Linked DNA regions of Arabidopsis thaliana. The gene in region 1 interacts genetically with each later gene. Each region holds a gene or a part of one and is shown on either strand. Other genes may lie near its edges.

Region 1 (7,008 bases):
AGGATGGTAGAAGTTAGGTGCTTTGCTTGAAAGAGGAGACTGTCACTTTACCTAATTCAATGTCTAAGTTTGGTCAGTCGATCTCTTCTTCAAGCAAAACCCCTTTAAAGCTGACATCCCAATTTCCATCCATCCATCTGTTTCTTGTTGCTAACTCCTTTCTCAGACCTTTTCTTTTTTAATAATTGTCTTTTTCCTATCAAATTTACACATACTATGTAGATAAATACCAGAAGGAAAAACAAAAGTAACAAATCGGGTCAAACTTATCAAAATTGGATGCCGAATGAATTTTAACATTGGAACTAGAATCTTCCCAAGAAAAAAGTGTTTAGTCAAATCTCATGATTGAAACATGATTAAGGAAACTTCTACGTTCATCTTACTTAAAGTTTTTTTTTTTTTTTTGTGTGTGTGTGTCACGTATTCAAGTTGTATTTAAGTAAAACTTAAAACTAGCAAATCTTAACTTTTAAATTAAGTTCATACCGCTAGTGTGTGTCATTAGCATAATGCGTTACCAAAGTTCTATCTCAGACTATGTTTTAAGGGTGATGATTGATTTAGATATGATATTAAAAGATTCGTTTCGCATCATTAGTGCTTTTCTTTTGTCAAATGCTGTTCACAAAATTCAAACGTAATGTAGATGGAAACGACATACGCTATGTCGGCTGCGTTCGACATTAGCAGTTCACAAGACTATATTACCTCTCATGTGTTTATACATTATATATATTTATATACTACAGTACATATTTAAACAAATGCATAAGAAAAAGGGTATAATTGATACTTTTATATCGAAAACGAAATGTCATGGTAGTAACAAGTGAAACCCACCGAGCTTCAATGGCCTCTATTATTCATGCATTTGCCATAATAACCCTACACCACCCAATTCAAATTGTCTTTATTGCCCCAAATCCCTAAATTGGATTTGTGGTTCTTGATGTTATTAATTCTTTGATGCCCATTAACTTTTTAGACAATTTTAATATTATATTTTGATTGATCTTATTCTTGGACCCCATTTTATTGAGAGTAACTTTTGAGCTTTGATGTTAACGTAATGCAAATTCTTGTCGTTTGTATGATTTGCAGAAATCATCTCATTAAACCTTTTGCCGACTAGAATCATGTGGAGAATGGGCTTACTGTGTCCCTTTTTATGAGACTCATGGAGAATGAGCTAACTGTGGCCCATTTTATGTGACTCCCGTGTAGAATGGGCTTACAGTGGCCCATTTTATGAGATTAGCTTCATTTAACCTTCAAATATTTCTAACCTCAAGGACAAAGCAAAGCAAGATTTTCGAAGATTCTGAGTCGGATGGTCTCAGCTGAACTGTCATTGAAAATTTTGTTTCTCAGTAGTAGCAAAAAGATTATCTTTTAATCAGAAGAATAATATATGATAGAGCTCTTTCTCTCTGTTTCAAGCCAATGTGTTAAGGAAAGATCTTCTACAATTTCAATAACTGAGACTTGTGATCAATGCCATTGAAGATGTAAGTCCCCAACATCGGAACAAACTGCTTTGTGACAAGCTGCAAACAAAGATAGAAAGAGACAACTACATATTCAATTACCTCGTTAAGCATGTCCAGAAGCTAGCGACTTCCCCATAAGACTAACTGAATTTGAAACAATGAGAAAGAAATATGAATCGAACCTTGATGACTTCTTGAGATGCGATTCCTCCAACAAAGGCAGAAACCACATGAATCTCTGAGGCACCAAAGCGACACATCTCATGGATAAGGTCATCTGGGAGTACTGAGCCGTTACAGCCCAAGTCGGTAAGAAGACTCAAGGCAGTAGTTTTTAATCGAGAAATGTCCTCATCCATTCCTCTACCAAAATGTATTGCATGTTAATAGCCAAACAAGGACCCATTGTTCAAAAATAAAGATTAAGCTTAGTGCCATAATGAATTTCTTACCCATCAAACTGCCCAGGAAACTTGTTATAGTTGGCAGCAAATCTGTCCGCAGCTCTAAGAAGAATATAAAATCCCATTGCACCACTGCGACAGTAACAATATTTAAGTATAAGAGCTAAACATGCAAGCCTAGAAAAATTTTGAACTAAATCCAGAATCTATTTTTTCTGCTGTGTAAGCCTAAGATGAACTAAAAAGTTTGGTTAGCTCAGGTCAACTAAATGAATAGCTTATACAGTAAATTATGCAGTTTTGAAAAAATGCTCCTGCAATATTCAATCACAACATCTTATGGCATGTATGAGACAGACAAAAGAGTGAACATTTTGTAGAAAGGTCATCTTTCAAATCATCTGATGTTTTTGTACTCATATGAAAAGGGAAAATTCGCACCTGTAATCCTCGTCCGCTAAATACTTTTGAATTTCAGTTACAGAAGGATTTCTGAACTCGTCCTCTACCATACGATATCTGCACAACTACAAAGGACGGATTATGGTTTATGCTTTACTCAAATCATATGTTTCTGATAATGCTCCGAAGAAAAAGTAAACAAGCAATAGGTAAAACGTTGACATTAGAAAACAAATTAAACATGTTAGGAAGTTTAGTATACTCACTTTAAGTTTCCTTGCATTCTTGCAGAAGCTCTTGATTGTTGGTTTTGGGATGCTGCTCGGATCTCGACCGATTTTCTTTAAAATGTTTTTAACTCGTTCCTCAATGACAAGAAAATCAGCCTCGGCTTTGGCTAAATAGATTTTCTGCAAATTGATATAGTGTCTGCAAAGAGAAACCATACAGCTACATAACCAATGTGAAAAATAGACTGAGGGTGAATTTCAGTGCCATAGAGGCAAGTGCACTAACTCTGTTGAAGAGGTCATATCTGGTATAGAACCTTCAAGGGGTGCCTCTCCACCACCTTCATTTAAAACAAACTCCTGCAGGTGGTTATGTACGATTATGATTTCAATCAAAATGAGTTGCAGTTTGCACTTCCTAAATGAACATAAAATTATGAGTTCTGGCAGAGCAGGTTTCAAGTTTCAAACCTTCAGAGCCGCTACCATCACCCAAAAAGCTGAGGAGTTTGAATTCACTTCAGCACAACTATCATTAATTAATTTTTGAACCTCTGAGCCTGGAAGAGAAAACAGGTTTGGTTCAACATGAAGAATACTGTGATTTGACCCGTGACAGAGCTTTCTGTTAGTTTAGCTCCAATATCAACAATCGCTACACCTATTAACTCAACCATGGAAACAGTAAACATTCTAAGTCAAGTTTCTACCTAGACCAAACAAGATATCTACTTACTGATTCCTCGAGGAGCAAAAACTTTGAAAGCGGCTTCAATGGCTTCTTTGTAGTTATCTTCATCCGTAGATACCATCTTGGACTTAACCAAATCCTAAGAATTCAAGGATATAGATAATTAAAACAAGAAAGCAAGCTCGCTAATAAATTTTATAAGTTACAAAAAAGAACTAAACCTTAAACTCTTTTTTCTCTTCCCTGGTTGAGGGAAGATTACCACTATGGGATTGAGCCCACTCCTCAGCCATCTTTACAAGAATGACGACGTAAGGTATGTGCTTATGTGCAGCGGCCGGCTCTGATACATTCAGATCAATGGTCTCCACAAAACTGCCGTTCATTAAATAATTAAGAATATCAGTAAGTACTCAGTCGTCCATCCACAACCATAATGTTAAAGGATGCCAGAACAACATAAAGTGAGAGGATATGAGAGCAGTGGACCTCTTGAGTTCAGGCCATGGATTATTCAGGCGGAGGTCGTCAAGAAAATGATCAGGTTTTGAGTCAATTATGGGGTGCTCCTGATAAAAAAGAAAAGAAGAGAGCTTAGCATATATTCTCATTGGCCAATATCCTAACCACGGCATACCACAAAGTAATCTAAACTTTATCACAAATTGGGTCTAGACAGGTGGTATTAATTACCTTTACAGAGATGCGAACAAACCCAGCAAGGCCATAAGAGCGAACCAAAACCAACTTAACGTTTGCATCTCGACAGATTCTATCAAGTTTCAACATTGAATCTTCCACCAGCTGCAACCAATCAATGTCGAAAAGGGGATGAAATAACGAACTTAAATAACAATAACACAGGAAAAAGAAGCCTAATAAAGCAATATCCCGTGAAGAGGACGAGGAAAAGTACATATGAGAAACTAACTAAAGAACATTGAATAGAAGGTATCATGATCCATGGTGAGTGACTGTGTAAGCAAAGATTAGAACTTTGAAAAATTGTAACACACAAATCATTAGAGAAGATTACAAATAGAAAAACAATGGTACCTGAGTGGCTATAACGAGAGTGAACTGAGAGAAGAAAGATGGGTTAGTAGTAATCAACGTGTCTGGATTCTCCTCAATAAACTTGGCGTTAACAGAATCATTAAGCTCTTGGAGAAACGCACAAACAGATTTGGCTTTTGATTGGCCAACACTCTTCGCATCGACTTCACATGAAAAAAAAAAATCATCATAACGCAAGCAAGTCCCCCAAAACCCCCAGAAGAAACACAATCAAAAAGTTTCAAAATTAGTCAGTACCCATGAAATTGTTCCCAAGGTCACCAAATTGAACCTTAGATCCATCAACAACGGTGATGCTACCAACACCACCAAGTACGAGATTCTTCAAAGCCTCGGAACCAGTAGGGCCACAATTGAGTAAACAGATACTCGCTTCTTCCAAGGCCGCTTGACCTACCTCCCCCCAAATCCTAATCAGTCAACCCAACGATTACTACTTCATCAATTTTCCTCCCGACAAGAGTAGTTCGAAGTAGAGTTTAAGGAAAAAGAGTATGTATACCTGAGCTGACGATCGTACTTGGTTTTAGGTTCTACCATTGTTGGCTCTTCTTCAACATGTCTCCTGGATCTTTTTACTGCTTGCATCTTCGCAGCTCAAGCGAGAGACGATTTTTGCCTCCGGTGAACTGATAAACAAAAAGACTTTTCTTCAATCAGGGTTTTTGTTTATTTCCGAATATTTTATTGTTTTTAGGAAATTTATCGTTTGAAAAAAGTTATCTACCAAATTAAAAAATCGATATTAATATCTTACTGATTTTTTATATATATAAGCAAATAAGAAAATTTTGTAAATATTTTTTTTAAAAAAAAATTGTGAAAAAGAAGAAGATATAAGCAAATAAGAATAATCACCATGATATTGTTTTTTGTTTTATTTCCGACTATTATTATTCTTATAGGAAATTTTCGTTTTTTAAAAAGTTATCTACCAAATTAAGAATACAGATATTAATATCTTACTGTTACGATTTTTTAGATATAAGAAAATAAGAAAATTTGTAATTAAAAAAAAGAAGAATAGATTAAAAAATTGTTTTAAAAAGTTTATCTACCATGATTTTTGTCCGATTTGGATTGGTTTGGTTCAATAAGGAAACATAACAATAGAATCACACCGATGAGGCACTTTGTGCCCAAGTTCTTGTTCAATCAAAGCACTAAAGAAATTTTTGTCAGAGCATCAAAAACAATTAATGGGTTCCTTTAAAAACTTACTCAAGAATCCCAACACAAACATCTTCATTTCTAAACAAATTTGAGCAAATACACATAAACATTGAAAGGAAGAGATAAGTAAGTAGATAATAATGAAAAATGAAGATCATTTCTTCTTTCCAGCTTTTCCTTCCTTCCTCCGAACTATCTCATCGGAATACTTGACTCCTTTCCCCTTGTATGGCTCTGGTGGCCTCCACTTCCTAACCGTTGCAGCAAACTGCCCGATTTCGCTCTTGTCGTATCCACTCACAGTGATTCTTGTGTTCTCTTCCACTTTCACTTTCAGACTATCCGGTATCTGCATCTTCACCGGGTGTGAAAACCCGAGATTTAGCACCAGCTCCTTTCCGTCTACTGTTGCACGATAACCAACACCCACAAGTATAAGCTTTTTCTCAAATCCCTTTGATACTCCCACAACCATGTTATCGGTAAGCGTCCTAAAAGTCACACAGAAGTTAAAAAAAAAGATTAGAGAACAAACGATCTTTTAACCTCAAAAAAGTTAAGGACTTCATTGGATGACAAGAAAAGATGAGAAGTTTGTAACCTGAAAAGGCCGTGCATTTGGTTGGCTCTTCTAGTTTCGACGGTTTTTTTGACCCTTAAGAAACCGGATTCTTCCTTTGTAAGCTCAACTTCGCGTGGGTAAGTTAAAGCCAGCTCTCCTAATGGACCCTTCACTTTCAAGTCTTGACCTTCCAATGCAATGGTTACATTGGAAGGTACAGCGATCGGTTGCTTTCCTATCCTTGATTCTTTGCACTCAATGGTCTTACTGGAGTAACCCACTTGAGCAAAAGGTGTGCTTGAGACCTTGAACACATTTCTATCTCCCAAAAATGCTGACCTAAAACAAAGGGGAAGTTATCTATCTATCTTCAGATAAAACATGTCAAGAAAGTAAAACTCTACCAGATATATATCTAAACCAATACACAGAAACTGTTATTGGAACAAAGATAACGTTAGATTAAGGAAGAGAAACATTCTTGTAGAACTTTCAGTTTCCATGGCTAAAAACCCCTCTAGAATCCTGCTTTTTACACAGTGAGTTCCGCATAACACATTCAAATTCCCAAAATAAAAATCCACAATTTCAAGAGTCCATAACCAATTCAACATTGCCATCGATTTAAAAAGATAAAAATAACCCATTCAAAGAGATTCCTTATACTTGGGAGGCTCATGAACACAGTTTATAGAGATTTTTGAGTAGAAAATGCCAAGTAAAGAAAACGAAACCCTAGCGGAATGAAGAAGCTCTATGGTTTGTAGTATATGAAAAGTACCTGGGTTGAAAAGATGAGACGAGTGAGGAAGCCATTGATAAGATTTGATGATGGAGCTCTAAGCTCTGCTCCAGAAGGAGGATGAAGAGAAGAAGAAGAGCGTTTTATCCAGAAAAGACTTATCCATCGTCAGCTTCTGTAATCCCCTCTTTCAAATCATTACTTTCACGGCCCATTAGCTCACTATTTTCGGCC
Region 2 (8,798 bases), on another chromosome or scaffold:
TGACTTTCGGTTAACAAACAGATTCGATTCTTGAAATTAGTTTAGGTGAAAATAATTCAGAAATAAATTTTCTTCTACGCATGAGTAAAAAAAATATATATTACATTTCCAAAATAAACGTTTTTAGTCCAAAAAAAAAAATGTCAGAGTGATAGAAAACAGGAAAGATGACTATGAAAATCCACCTTCATTGTTAGTGTTACATGGTTATTTCAAGGGTTTTGATCAACGACATAATCCATTGTTTTTAGGCTTTTTCAGGTGAAACCATAGTTAAAAGTTTTTTTTTTCACTATTATGATGAGAGTGGAGTTCTTTTTTTGCATACGTATTACACATAATTAAAAAGATTATATGACAATATTGTTAAGCCGTTATAATCAATCAGCTACTATATGCCCTTTATTTTGCTAATTATCTCAAAAAAAATCATAGAGAAGTTGCACTCGTCATTGTACTCTTGACATTTACTAATTAAAAGATTTCTTCTGCATAAGAAAATGAGGAGACAATTTAAATTTGGATCTCTAGAGGCGTGATTAAAGCAGTTCTTTCCCACAAAAGATGGCTTTCATTATATTATACTACTATTTAATTTCCGTACCACAGTGTCTTACTCTGACTCTGATTTTATTTCTTTTTAATTAAATAATCACATAAATAATTCACTATCACGACTTTCGTTTTTCCATTTAAATTAAACTAAACCGGTTAGATTCGTTTTTCTTCACCAGGTTAATGTGAACCCCAATTTTTCTATTTTGTTAATGATGTTTTATAATTGTGATTAATACAATTAGAAAATATCTAATAATTAAAGTTGAGACCATAATTAAAGGAAAGGGAACTATTGTGTGAACATATATATATTCTTACACACTCGCAGAGCAACCCTTCTTCACTTGGGCTCATTGGAATGTGATATCCCAAAAAGAAAAGGCAAAACAAACTACTACTAAAAAAGTTGAGATAGTAAAAATACAATTGTACTTTATCATATAATAATTCAATGTACAACAAAACTCAACTACCAAAGTTTGCTTATTACTCTCAAAGAAAAAAACACTGATTAAAAATAGCAAAAGAGATTTGTTTATCTATATGAAAAATAAACTTATATAGAAATTCTTATATGATTAGTTGCAATTGTAGGTGTAACATTTAATCGTTGATTTGTTTTTTTTTTTGGGGTGCATTTCTCTTGTAGTTGTAACAATATTTCACACTTAAGACTTTCAGACAATAGTTTAAAAACAACCGAACAGAAGTTGCAGGTACCTATAACTTGTGTATGAATCCATCCACAGTTTTGTAAACGTTGACTGTTTGACATTTTGAATGTAATTTTATTTAATTAGATCCTACACAACAATAATCACATCTATAATTTGCCAATACATTTTAATAAAACCACTTAACAAAATGGTTTTAACTTTTAATCCAGTAATTTTCTGTAGTTGGTGTCATGATTTATAACTACTGTACACATTTCCAAGATCTAACGAACAATCATAATCGATAATAATTGTACCTACCAAATTTGGTCTAAAAAAATAGAAGAAGTGATTATATATATATTCTTTTTTGTTTTTGATGCTAAATATTTTTTTTTTAATGTGATTATCGTTTATCATTGCACCTCACGGTAATTATTATTGTTTTTCCCTGATTTTATAAAAAAGATATATAGAGAGATTATTGAGACCAATGAAGAGCAGAAACTGTTGGGAGTCAAAAAAAACTTATCTCCAATTTCTAACAGTGTTCTATGTCGGATTCCATCAATCTCTCTCTCTTCCATCATCTGTCACTTTCTTTGTTTTCTACGCAACAAGAAACCGAAGAAAAAAAAATAACAATTTACTAAAGTATTAATTCCTTTTTTTGTGTGACAAAATAAAAACCCACTAAAAAGCAAACGATTCCAAGAACATGGAAACAAATGTGTAAAAAGGAAATAAAAACATCAAGCGTGGGCTGAAAATCACTACACGAAAATCCAAATTTTGGTAATTCTATTAAATTTTTTAAGTTGGTAATAAAGAGAATAAATACACAAATTGACTGGCCAGTACACAAGTTGACTGATTAATCGCAAATTATACATAATTAATAATTAAAAAACGGTAAAAAACGTTAATAAATAAGGAAATAAATCAAAACAAATGAAGAGTGGGATTAGTAAAGTATTAAAGAAAGCATATAGAGCGGAAGAAAACTGAAGATGGAAGATTATAAAAATAAGTGTTGTGAAGAAGAAGCTATTCGATTTTTATAGTCTTGAGTTTTATTTTATTTTAATAAGAAAACAAAATAAGATTTTTAAAAAATAGTATATTATTTATTTATTAATTTTCTTCAGGGCTGTTGTGGTTTTTGAGGTTCTCTATAAAGCAAAGTAAGAAAACATCTACACAAATGTCCCAACAATCTGATCAGAAAAAAGTAGACGAAGAAGAAGAAATTAAGTCACTTGAACAATGGCGTTGGTCCGAAATGCAAGGCCTTGAGCTTCTCCCTCATAACACCAACAACAACTCACGAAGCTCCAGAGAAACTCACCGGAAATGGATAATGACGGTGGTGCTCCTCCTCCTCCGCCGACACTAGTGGTGGAAGAGCCTAAGAAAGCAGAGATTCGTGGAGTTGCTTTTAAAGAGCTATTCAGATTCGCCGACGGATTAGATTATGTATTGATGGGAATTGGCTCTGTTGGTGCTTTTGTCCATGGCTGCTCTTTACCTCTGTTTCTTCGATTCTTCGCCGATCTTGTTAATTCCTTTGGTTCTAATTCTAATAACGTTGAAAAGATGATGGAAGAAGTTCTCAAGGTACTAACTTTATTTCTTTCTCTTCATCTTCAATCTTTGAAAACACTAACTTGTTTTTGGTTATTGCAGTATGCGCTTTACTTTTTAGTGGTTGGTGCTGCAATCTGGGCTTCCTCTTGGGCAGGTTAGAAGAAAGTTACTTAAAGATCTAAACTTTTATACTGTTCTCTTGATCTGATTCGGTTTTAAATATGGTTTCGTTGTTGCAGAGATTTCGTGTTGGATGTGGAGTGGAGAGAGACAAACAACGAAGATGAGGATTAAGTATTTAGAAGCAGCTTTGAATCAAGACATTCAGTTCTTTGATACAGAAGTTCGAACTTCAGATGTTGTCTTCGCCATTAACACCGACGCTGTTATGGTTCAAGACGCCATTAGTGAGAAAGTAAGAATCTTCAAATTCTTAGTCTTTTTGTTTCTTCTTCCTTATCTGATCTGTTTTTTTTTGGGAATCTCAGCTTGGTAATTTCATCCATTACATGGCGACTTTTGTTTCTGGATTCATCGTGGGTTTCACTGCGGTGTGGCAACTAGCTTTAGTGACTCTCGCGGTGGTTCCGTTGATTGCTGTGATCGGAGGAATTCACACCACTACTCTCTCTAAACTATCTAATAAGAGTCAAGAGTCTCTTTCACAAGCTGGTAATATCGTCGAACAGGTAGAGTGCACAAATCCCTAGAAATAAATAAATAAAGTTTCTATTTTTGTCAAATCCAGTAATCATCAGATCATTCTATCATCTGGTTTTTTTTTGGGTCTGATTCAATTTCTGAAAAAAATGGCAGACAGTGGTACAAATCAGGGTAGTGATGGCTTTCGTTGGAGAATCAAGAGCTTCACAAGCTTATTCATCAGCTTTGAAGATTGCTCAGAAGCTTGGTTACAAAACAGGTTTAGCTAAAGGAATGGGACTTGGTGCTACATACTTCGTTGTCTTTTGTTGTTACGCTCTCTTGCTTTGGTACGGTGGTTATCTAGTTCGCCACCATTTGACCAACGGTGGTCTCGCTATTGCCACAATGTTCGCCGTTATGATTGGTGGATTGTAAGCAACTCTTTGCTCTTCTCTGTTCATCACTCTTGTTATCATTTGGTTTGATATTGGTTTGTTGATGGTGATGAGTTTTTTTATTTTTGTTTAAAGGGCATTGGGACAATCAGCACCGAGCATGGCTGCATTTGCCAAAGCAAAGGTTGCTGCTGCAAAGATCTTTAGAATCATTGATCACAAACCAACGATAGAGCGTAACAGCGAGTCCGGTGTGGAGTTAGACTCAGTCACGGGTCTTGTCGAGCTTAAAAATGTGGACTTTTCGTATCCGTCAAGGCCAGATGTTAAGATTCTTAACAACTTCTGCCTCTCTGTTCCTGCTGGGAAGACCATTGCTTTGGTTGGGAGCAGTGGTTCAGGAAAAAGCACAGTCGTTTCGCTTATAGAGCGGTTTTACGACCCGAACTCAGGTTAACAATCTTAACATTCTGTTACATTTCAAGCTGTTTTGTTCGAGCATTGTTATTTTAATTAACACGGTGTTATCGTCTCTGCAGGACAAGTTTTACTAGATGGGCAAGACCTGAAGACGCTGAAACTGAGATGGTTAAGGCAACAGATAGGGCTAGTGAGTCAAGAACCTGCATTATTCGCCACTTCTATCAAGGAGAATATACTCTTAGGCCGTCCTGACGCAGATCAAGTCGAGATAGAGGAGGCTGCTCGAGTCGCAAATGCTCATTCCTTTATCATCAAACTACCTGATGGCTTCGACACACAGGTCTGATGGTTTATGTGAATCTGTGTTCTTTTGTTTCTTCAATTATTCATTAGTTTAAGGTATTTTGAAAGAGTCAAAAGAGAGAAGAGGTATGGTCATGGAAAAGCATTTATAACAGAGTAACATGGGTTTGGTCAACAACGCATGTGAGACCCAGACAAGTAGTTTTAGTCATGTGTCTTGATGTTGAATTTTTTTTAGTGTTCATGTGCTTGTTTTTTTTCTTGCTACTTTAACTTGAAAACCAGCAACCACTATTCCAATGGATTTTTAATCCAGATAGACATATGTTTGTTTATACTCATGTGGTAAATGTGAATAATGTCAGGTTGGGGAGAGAGGATTGCAGCTGTCTGGTGGGCAGAAGCAAAGAATAGCGATAGCAAGAGCGATGTTGAAGAACCCGGCGATACTTCTATTAGATGAGGCGACGAGTGCATTGGATTCTGAATCAGAGAAGCTTGTACAAGAGGCTTTGGATCGTTTCATGATTGGAAGGACTACTCTCATCATTGCTCATCGCCTTTCTACCATTCGAAAAGCTGACCTTGTTGCTGTGCTACAGCAAGGAAGTGTCTCTGAGATTGGAACGCATGATGAGCTTTTTTCCAAGGGAGAAAATGGAGTCTATGCTAAGCTAATTAAAATGCAAGAAGCAGCTCACGAAACCGCCATGAGCAATGCAAGAAAGAGTAGCGCAAGGTATACTCTTATTCATTTTGTGTTTGTTTTTTGTTTTGATGATGCTTTTTTTTGGGTTACTGATGTTAATCTATTTGTTGCAGACCGTCGAGTGCTAGAAACTCGGTTAGCTCGCCAATAATGACTCGGAATTCGTCGTATGGAAGATCACCTTATTCACGGAGACTATCCGATTTCTCAACTTCTGATTTTAGCCTCTCCATTGACGCTTCGTCCTACCCAAACTATAGAAACGAGAAGCTGGCCTTCAAGGATCAAGCCAATTCATTCTGGCGACTAGCTAAAATGAACTCTCCAGAGTGGAAATACGCTTTGCTCGGTTCAGTAGGCTCTGTCATTTGTGGCTCCCTTAGTGCATTCTTCGCATATGTCCTCAGTGCAGTCTTAAGCGTCTACTACAACCCGGACCACGAATACATGATCAAACAGATTGATAAGTACTGTTATCTCTTAATCGGTCTCTCTTCCGCAGCACTTGTCTTCAACACGCTCCAGCATTCTTTCTGGGACATTGTGGGTGAGAATCTGACCAAGAGAGTCCGTGAGAAGATGCTGAGCGCTGTACTCAAGAATGAGATGGCTTGGTTTGATCAAGAGGAGAACGAAAGTGCAAGAATCGCAGCAAGATTAGCTCTTGATGCTAATAATGTGAGATCTGCGATAGGAGATAGAATATCGGTTATTGTGCAGAACACAGCACTGATGCTTGTTGCTTGCACTGCCGGGTTTGTTCTACAATGGAGACTCGCACTTGTCCTTGTCGCAGTCTTCCCCGTAGTTGTTGCTGCAACTGTCTTACAGGTTTGTGTTCTTTTAAAGCATGTGCATGCTCTCATTGTTGTTCTTGGATCTGAAACTTTGTCTTGTCTTTTGAACAGAAAATGTTCATGACTGGTTTCTCGGGAGACCTGGAAGCGGCACATGCCAAGGGAACGCAGCTTGCTGGTGAAGCCATAGCTAATGTCAGGACAGTTGCTGCATTTAACTCGGAGGCAAAGATTGTCCGTCTCTACACTGCAAACCTCGAACCACCATTGAAACGATGCTTCTGGAAAGGACAGATCGCTGGAAGTGGTTATGGTGTAGCTCAGTTCTGTCTTTATGCATCTTATGCTCTCGGGCTATGGTACGCATCATGGCTTGTGAAACACGGCATCTCTGACTTCTCCAAAACCATAAGAGTCTTCATGGTTCTGATGGTCTCAGCCAATGGTGCAGCAGAGACACTCACACTGGCTCCTGATTTCATCAAAGGTGGTCAAGCTATGCGGTCTGTTTTCGAACTTCTTGACCGGAAAACCGAGATTGAACCTGATGATCCTGATACCACCCCGGTCCCAGACCGGTTACGTGGTGAAGTCGAGCTCAAACATATCGATTTCTCTTACCCTTCAAGGCCAGACATCCAGATTTTCCGTGACCTTAGCCTTCGTGCTAGAGCTGGCAAAACCCTAGCTCTTGTGGGTCCAAGCGGGTGCGGAAAAAGCTCAGTTATCTCCCTCATCCAGAGATTCTACGAACCTTCCTCAGGCCGAGTCATGATCGACGGGAAAGACATAAGGAAATACAACCTGAAAGCCATAAGGAAACACATAGCCATAGTCCCTCAAGAGCCGTGCTTGTTCGGAACTACCATTTACGAAAACATTGCATATGGACATGAATGTGCGACCGAAGCAGAGATCATACAAGCCGCGACTCTAGCCAGTGCGCACAAATTCATATCCGCGCTACCAGAAGGTTACAAAACGTATGTTGGCGAGAGAGGCGTTCAGCTCTCGGGAGGACAGAAACAGAGGATCGCGATCGCACGTGCCCTCGTGAGGAAAGCAGAGATCATGCTGCTTGACGAGGCTACAAGCGCTCTTGATGCAGAGTCCGAGAGATCAGTCCAAGAAGCATTAGACCAGGCTTGCTCTGGTAGAACATCAATAGTCGTGGCTCATAGGCTATCTACAATCAGGAACGCACACGTGATCGCTGTCATCGATGATGGAAAAGTGGCTGAACAAGGATCGCATTCGCATCTTCTCAAGAACCATCCTGATGGAATCTACGCGCGAATGATACAGTTGCAAAGATTTACGCATACACAAGTGATTGGTATGACGTCAGGTTCAAGTTCTAGGGTTAAGGAAGATGATGCTTAGTACTTACTACTTTGGTCATATAGAAGAAAAAAGAAGGAGAGTAAAAAACAACAAACACCAGAAGATGTTTCTGATAAAAAACTCTACGAACTCATCATTTTCTCTTTTTTTCTTTCTGTTTTGATTTTGGGGTTACTTATTTTTGGAACTACGTTTCAGATTTGATGGTATAGTATTATTATTGTGTATTATCATAATTAATCTAATTTTTCACCTCTGTAATATCCATTTATATGCCATATCAATCTATGAGCCTCTGCCTTTCTAGTGAAGTGAAGAAGGTGATGATGAGAGGTATGTATCTCATAATCATCGAGGCACTTGTTACCATATATATTGGTTTGGTCTTGTTCTAGATTTCAGGATAAGCCTAACTTTTCAATCATGAGATCCGTTCTAAAAGAAATATTATGGTATATGATGAAAATGTAATCTTTTAAGGTTTTTAATTGTATTGGTTAGATGGGTGATGGGTCTCGAATGTTGTGGGTCTATTTTAAAATCTATTGTGTGTACATCATGCTTTTATACTAGATCATGATTAGTAATGTAAGCATATAAATAATTAACTATGACAATATTGTCAAAAAGAATGCTTTAGATGTATAGACACACGAACATACGTGGGGAACAAAATTATGAAGATGAGAAAACAGAAGATGAGAAAAAGAAGATGGGTCCAAAAAGGACATTGAATGAGATGATGAGACCCAAAGCTAAAACAATAATGAAAAAAAGAAAGAAAAGACAACATTTCTTTTGTGTTTATATAACTTTTTATGAACAAAACAATTCTTGACTTCGTTTCTTTGTGCAACACACGCGTGCGACCACACACACATATATGCATATGGGACACACACCATGATGATGATGACTACTTTGTTTTAGCTGTTGAATGCAAATAAATTTGTGTTTAATTATGAACAAACTTGGAAATTATAGTGGTGGAGAAGAAGAAGCACTAGCTCCTCTCGGCACATGTCGTTCACTAATTGAGAAATTCATAGAAGGCCAATAATTTAAGCTACAGTACTGGAATTCCCCACTTTCTATTAATAAAAGTTTAACAATGTCACCAAGGTTTTTTTACTCTTATTTTTTTTTTATGTAAAGTAGCATGGATACTGGAACTTGAACTACATTTATAACTTTTACAAATCAACGCAAGATTTTTTTTGTAAGATTAGATTATATTTTTGTGAACACCGTGAAAATGCAAATTAAAAATAATGAAAAGATATGCAACAGATGGATACTGGGAGTGGGACATAAGAAAAGCTCTGAAGATAAAACATGCGCAAGCAGAGAAATGGTATAGATCAAGATGAGATTTGCACCT

Evidence for each region. A genetic interaction does not mean that the proteins touch.
Region 2: changes in AXR1 (region 1) and ABCB1 impair growth when combined (synthetic growth defect), as found in Arabidopsis thaliana (one study listed by BioGRID).

The regions. Positions count from the first base shown.
Region 1 is NC_003070.9:1,496,891-1,503,898, forward strand, and holds AXR1 (NAD(P)-binding Rossmann-fold superfamily protein), read right to left. Parts: upstream 5,064-7,008; 5' UTR 4,886-5,063; coding exon 4,800-4,885; intron 4,708-4,799; coding exon 4,535-4,707; intron 4,441-4,534; coding exon 4,277-4,440; intron 4,025-4,276; coding exon 3,914-4,024; intron 3,790-3,913; coding exon 3,710-3,789; intron 3,596-3,709; coding exon 3,442-3,595; intron 3,360-3,441; coding exon 3,266-3,359; intron 3,090-3,265; coding exon 3,001-3,089; intron 2,890-3,000; coding exon 2,816-2,889; intron 2,729-2,815; coding exon 2,566-2,728; intron 2,425-2,565; coding exon 2,339-2,424; intron 2,030-2,338; coding exon 1,946-2,029; intron 1,857-1,945; coding exon 1,676-1,856; coding exon of another isoform or gene 1,634-1,675; exon of another isoform or gene 1,551-1,633; coding exon 1,467-1,550; 3' UTR 1,224-1,466; downstream 1-1,223. Other genes in the region: emb2394 (Ribosomal protein L6 family), read right to left, coding at 5,625-5,961, 6,072-6,371, 6,814-6,848. UniProt on the Arabidopsis thaliana protein: Regulatory subunit of the dimeric ECR1-AXR1 E1 enzyme.
Region 2 is NC_003071.7:15,499,595-15,508,392, forward strand, and holds ABCB1 (ATP binding cassette subfamily B1), read left to right. Parts: upstream 1-2,131; 5' UTR 2,132-2,567; coding exon 2,568-2,831; intron 2,832-2,900; coding exon 2,901-2,955; intron 2,956-3,040; coding exon 3,041-3,216; intron 3,217-3,289; coding exon 3,290-3,490; intron 3,491-3,617; coding exon 3,618-3,877; intron 3,878-3,976; coding exon 3,977-4,293; intron 4,294-4,380; coding exon 4,381-4,604; intron 4,605-4,932; coding exon 4,933-5,306; intron 5,307-5,389; coding exon 5,390-6,107; intron 6,108-6,184; coding exon 6,185-7,456; 3' UTR 7,457-7,907; downstream 7,908-8,798. UniProt on the Arabidopsis thaliana protein: Brassinosteroid exporter that, in conjunction with ABCB19, supports the accumulation of exogenous brassinosteroids (BR) in the apoplast, thus promoting BR signaling initiation involving the specific receptor BRI1 and required for plant growth and stress responses.